Linked DNA regions of Ovis aries. The protein of the gene in region 1 interacts with the protein of each later gene in a pairwise test. Links are inferred from orthologs where the notes say so. Each region holds a gene or a part of one and is shown in the gene's direction. Other genes may lie near its edges.

Evidence for each region.
Region 2: the proteins of SPG21 (region 1) and FAM114A1 interact in binary tests that used the Homo sapiens proteins (3 or more experiments, as listed by UniProt). The two-hybrid records come from large-scale screens. The link is inferred for Ovis aries from reciprocal best matches to the Homo sapiens genes SPG21 and FAM114A1.

The regions. Positions count from the first base shown.
Region 1 is NC_056060.1:11,883,853-11,887,507, reverse strand, and holds part of SPG21 (maspardin), read left to right. Parts: intron 1-100; coding exon 101-209; intron 210-876; coding exon 877-984; intron 985-3,018; coding exon 3,019-3,159; intron 3,160-3,655. UniProt on the Homo sapiens protein: May play a role as a negative regulatory factor in CD4-dependent T-cell activation.
Region 2 is NC_056059.1:58,873,763-58,876,353, forward strand, and holds part of FAM114A1 (protein NOXP20), read left to right. Parts: intron 1-715; coding exon 716-967; 3' UTR 968-2,591. UniProt on the Homo sapiens protein: May play a role in neuronal cell development.

The DNA.
Region 1 (3,655 bases):
CCAAATGCCTAGTTAATACAGAGATTCAATATTGAATGAATGCTTGCCACTCATGTATAGTCTTGTAAGTTTAAATGTCAGTTTTTTTGTTTTTTTACAGCTTTTGGCTGATGCCATCATTTATGCTTAAAAAAATAGTTCTTGGGAACTTTTCCTCTGGCCCAGTGGACCCTATGATGGCTGATGCCATTGATTTCATGGTAGACAGGGTAAGGATCATGACCTTGGGGAGGGGACACCTTGACCTGGGAATTTTCATGTCTTCTTGGTTCCTGAGAAATACCTGTCTCGCTCAGTGTGTATTAGAGGTGTTTGTTAAGCACTTTTCCACATTAACTTTAATACATCCAGATGGATATTATGGCTGCTGAATAATTTATCAGAATCATTTGGGGAAATTAAAAAAATACAGATTCTAAGGCCTCACACTAGACCTTGAACTGGAATCCCTGGCCAAGGGCTCTGGGAACTCCTCCACTTCTACCTCCCCAGGTCAGTGTGATGGAGCAAGTTTGTAGATATGCATGTAGGAACTACTGGATAGATATTTTTTCTGAGGCCTCTTCCAGCTCTAAGATCACTGAAATGTTTCTCTGTCTTCATTAAGCTTGTGGAATGGGCTTGCTGCCCACAGGCACCTGGTTGAAGAGGCAGCTCAGGTTGAGGGTTGTGGAAGGCCAGGTGCCCAAAACAGGAAAATATCACCACTTCCAGGGCCCAGTTATGGTCTCAAATACATTGTGTCTCCTCAGAGGTTAACTTACTGGCCCTACCACACATAATGTCACCTTTATAAATAGGATATTATCTGTGGATTTAATGTAATTGTGAAAAAAAATTTTTTTGAAAAACTTTTACCTGTGTTTTTTCCTGCAGCTGGAAAGTTTGGGTCAGAGTGAACTGGCTTCAAGACTTACCCTGAATTGTCAAAATTCTTATGTGGAACCTCATAAAATTCGGGACATCCCTGTAACCATTATGGATGTAAGTTTACTTTAAGTAAAACAGATGCTTTACCTTTTTTATATGTACATGTCAAGATCCACCTCACAAATCATTTTACGATTTTTCAGTGTTGCTTCAAACACTGCCTTGAATTTGTTTTTACCACCTGCCCCCCACACAGCTTTCTCAATTTCAAAAAAAATCTTTTATTGCTTATCCTGTATTTTTCCTGGAAGGAATAACACCATTGAAATAAAAATAAATTTAAACAAACATGGTAGTCCTTACCCCTTTTGGTTTGCTTTGCTGTTCTTTTTAAGCTGTTACAAATCTGGGCAGCAAAATGAAGGTGCCAGAATTCCATAAAGGCTAGTTAACACAAAAGCTTGCTTCTTACATGTCTTTTAATTGTAGTAAAATACACATAACAAAATTCACCATTTAAACTACTCTTAAGTGTACATTTCAGTAGCATTAAGTATATTTATAGTGTGGTCCAACTGCCACTGTTATCCATCTCCAGAACTTTCCATCATCCCAAACTGAAACTCTGTACCCATTAAACAATAACTCTTCCTTCACCATTCCCCCTAGAGACCCTAGTAACCTTTGTCCTACTTTTTTGTCTGTATGAATTTACCTGTTCTAGGTACCTCATGTAAGTAGAATCATATAAATATCCTTATGTATCTGGCTTGTTTCATTTAGCATATTTCTAAGCTTTATCCATGTTAAAGCATATGTTAAAAATACCCAGTTATCCTCCAATTAAAAATAAATTAAAAAATTTAAAACCCATTCCCTTTTACAGTTGGGTAATATTGCGTTGTATGTATATACCGCAGTTTGTTTATCCTTTCATCTGTTGATAGACATTTGAGTTGTTTCCACCTTTTGGCTATTGTGAATAATGCTGCTGTAAATATTGGTGTGCAAATACACATTCAAGGGTCTATTTTCAATGCTTTTGGGTGGTGCATACCTAGAAGTGGAATTGCTGAAGCATTTGATAATTCTGTTTAACTCCTAGAGGGACTGCCTTACCATCTTCCACAGGGGGCATCCCATTTTACATTCCCATGAGCAGTGCGCACGGTCTCCAATTGCTCCATATCCTCGCCAATATCCTTGTTATTTTCTGTTGTTTTTTTTTAAATAGCGGTCACCCTAATGGATGTGAAGTGGTATCTCACTGTGGCTTTGACTTTTTATTTTAATCATATAACTGTTTGTCTCACAATAGATTTATTCCTAAATGCAAGTAATATGGTGTTTAAATTAAAAACTGATTTTTATCAGGAAATTATTACAAACGTGTATAATAACTTACCATTTTCTATTATAATTGCTACATTCCAGCATTTACAATGACACAGAGTAAGCTTGTCAATACTCTCAAAGAAATACATGGTCCTCATAGTGCATTTGCTCTGCCCGCACTTTCAAAGCTATGCTCACCACTTAAGTACATGGTCACTTAAAATGTCTAGAAGTTTTAGCAGGGTGGAGACGCACCTATCTTTATTTTCATGTTGTTTTTTTTTTTTGTCTTATTTGAATAATTTTTGCATGAGTTTGAACATAAATTTATGTGAGTATTATAAGATTCTTGAGTCATATATTGCAAACTTCCAACAGTGGCTCCCCCAGGAAAGGGCCTGGACTTTTTATCTAATATTCTTAATTTTTCAATAATTATTTTCACAGAGCATATCATACATATAACTGTTTTTAAATTAATACTAAGTTCTTTTGGGGTTTCATGATCTTTTTGAAATTGGTGTTTTCAGTGATTGTTTTCTATTAATGTTCTGTTAATTTAATTAACTATCTTTGAGGACAAATGAAATTCATGGTAGAATTTTTTTCCCCTAAACAATGCAAAAGACATTTGGCAGTAAAATCTGGGCTTCTTACTTTGGAGTTAGAGTCACTAGGGATGAGCAGAAGGTGGTGGCCCAGGCTTCAGAAAGGTTCAGCCATGTCTCCTGAAAGGAGTGCTTGGGGGGACACTTCGCTTAATGTGAAAAGAACACATTGAAATAACAGTTTTGTCCTCATATTATTTTAAAGGTGTTTGACCAGAGTGCACTTTCAACTGAAGCTAAAGAAGAAATGTACAAACTGTATCCTAATGCCCGGAGGGCTCACCTTAAAACAGGAGGCAATTTCCCATACCTGTGCAGAAGTGCAGAGGTGAATCTCTATGTACAGGTAGGCCCTAGTATGGAACCCAGAGCCCTTTGACCCCAGAGTCTATGGTTTGAAACATAAAGCTTTTTGGTGGTGGAGAGAGAGAACTATAGAATTCTCTGTAGGAATGAAGCACTAACTTGATAAAGGTGGTCTCCATGAATAATTTATAGAATTCAAGCATAGTAGAGACACCTGGGTGACTATCTGCCCACTCTCCCTTTTCTATGAACCACAGGCCTGAACTCACACACTGAAGTAGCCATTTGGTACCATGGAACCTTGACTCCCAGATTCAAGGAATTCAGTCAGGACACCAGACTTAAAATGGAGTCAATCTGAAGTCCCATGACTTCTTTTTTTTTTTTTTAATTTTTATTTTTACTTTATTTTACTTTACAATACTGTATTGGTTTTGCCATACATTGACATGAATCCACCACGGGTGTACATGCGTTCCCAAACATGAACCCCCTTCCCACCTCCCTCCCCATAACATCTCTCTGGGTCATCACCA
Region 2 (2,591 bases), on another chromosome or scaffold:
CTGTATTCTGCACTTTACATATATTCATGTTTTGCAAACTGGAATCTGCCAACCTGTTTGCAAGTTATAGTCGAGTATTTTAACTTTGCTGCCAACCTAGAAGACATACCCTAAAACCAAGTACCTGTGCTTGTATTTAAAAGAAAAATAGACAGACTAGGGCTGGGACTAGTAAAGGCAAGTAAAGGTACTTAACCTGTCTACCAAATTTAAGGGGACCATCTCTCAAAAAGAGACAAATAGACAACCTCAGTCATCTAGATAGATGCAATATTTTAAAAATCAAAATGAATACCAAAAGTCATGATGAACAAAATATAAAAATTTTAAGCAAAGACTGAAGCTAACTCTGTCCAACTCAATCTCACTCACCTCCCCCTAATCCCAAACCTGATATAAGATTTGAATGGTTTAAAAGGTCTGAGTTTAAACTTCTAGCTACATGACCTTAAATAACTTCCTCAACCTTCCTGATTCATATTTTCTCATCTGTGAATCAGAGTTATCGTGGTCCCTGCCTACCCCCTAAAATCTCTGTGGAAATTAAATGAGATCGTATAGGGGAAGCACCAAGTATGAAGCCTCATGTATAGTAAGCATTCCACTTCTCCTCTTCTTCTCTAAGAGATCCCTCATAAAGCCAGCATCTTAACACTTTGACAAGCCTTGGAGTATGAGCACCTAATCTGTCAATTTCATACTTTTGATTCCACAGAGCAACCAGAAGGCCGAGGTCCTTAACCCCATGATCAATAGTGTATTGTTAGAGGTAAGTGGCCCCCAGAGAGAAAATGCTTCTGAATTAAACCAAATGTTAGAGCTACACATTTTGTCTTTCTCTCAGACAGCAAGTATTTCTGCAATTCTAAATTTTATCGTCTACAGTCTTTTTTTAGTACATTTGTATAGTTCAACCAGCTGTAAACCCTCGAGTGAAACAACAATACCTAATTTTCAAGAATCCTGATTATAAAGAGAAATGCTAAGCTTGCACATTATTTCTGTCGCTGTTTCCTCCGGCAGAAGCACATTTCTGCTGCCAAGTTTGACACCAGATTTAACACTGTGATTTTTGGCTGCAACGAGGAATTCTTGCTCAATGGTGAATTTTTGTTAAAGTGGGCACTTTCCTCCATTCACAATAACCTTGGGTTTAGCCGGGTCTAAGTTCCAGACTGGCAACAAATGACAGGTAAATATTTAGCATCTGCCCATTCACTAACCAGAGGCAAGATCCTCTGTGACCACTCACTCCATGGCCAGCCCACACACCAGGACATTGTAACACGGACATGTAGCTGCCCCACACAGCTGTGGCTTTGCCAGAAGCAGCAATGTAAAAGAAAAGAAAAGGAAAGGGACCTAGGACGCCTCATTCTTGACCTGTAGGTGCTGTGTTCCATCTGTGGCTAGTGGGGGAAATTCTTCTATTACGGATCAGCCATAAGGAACTGGCACTTCTGTAGCCCCACGGCACCCAGCTGAAGCCGCAAGGTGTTGACAAGTTAAGTTTGAATATAAGCAGTGTATATACAGTGGTTTCTTGCTCTCTGAAGTACCTGTCAAATGCAAAATTTGGAAATTACAAAAGTGAGGGAGGGCTACATATAAATATATAGCAATGCACTTAGGAATTGAGTCTTACCTTTAAGGAAAGCTACCGAGGTACAGGAGTAACAGTGGTGACCCTAAGTGTTATTGCTTAAGACACAGCCTCCCAGAGGGATGGAGTTGACATGCAGGGAAGATTCTGGAGGATAGAGCTAAAGGAAATCCAAGCAATCAGAGGCAGAACATGGAACCTGAGAACATTTTCCTTGGCCACCCAAAAGGCATTAGCAGATGAATTACTGTTGGTCATGAAGAGTATGAAGTCAAATCATTTATTCATTCCTTTGGTGGAAGTTTTCTCCTGTTTTAATTACCTGGAACTTTAAGTGGTCTCTCGTGGAATACTGTCTGTTAGAGCACCCATGAACATGAATAGCAATGTCAAAGATCCAAACCAAGTGGAGAGTACCAACATGAATAGGAAGATGACAGCATTCAAGGATTTGCCGTGAATAATTGCACAATATCTCCAGTAACCCATTATTGTTTATTCATCTGTACATGTTAGTCCCTCAGTCGTGTCTGACTCTTTGCCACCCCATGGACCATAGCCCACCAGGCTACTCCGTCCATGGGAACTTCCTGGCAAGAATACTGGAGTGGGTTGCTATTTCCTTCTCCAAGGGATCATCCCAACCCAGAGATGGAATTCAGGTCTCCTGCATTGCAGGCAAATCCTTTACCATCTGAGCTACCAGGGAAGCCCTTCTTCATCTGTAGGTTAGGACAAACTACAGCCTCTTTCATGCTGTGCTTTTGTGTTATTTCAGGGCAGTGAGATTGATCTGGAAAAAGGATAAGTAAGACTGGACATAATGGGTATTGACTATACACACATAATATACCCTAGAGTTTAAGTGTTAGTCACTCAGTCATGTCCAACACTTTGTATCCCCATGGACTCTGTTCATGGGATTCTCCAGACAAGAATACTGGAGTGGGTTTCCATTTCCTTCTCCAGGGATCTTCCTGATACCAGG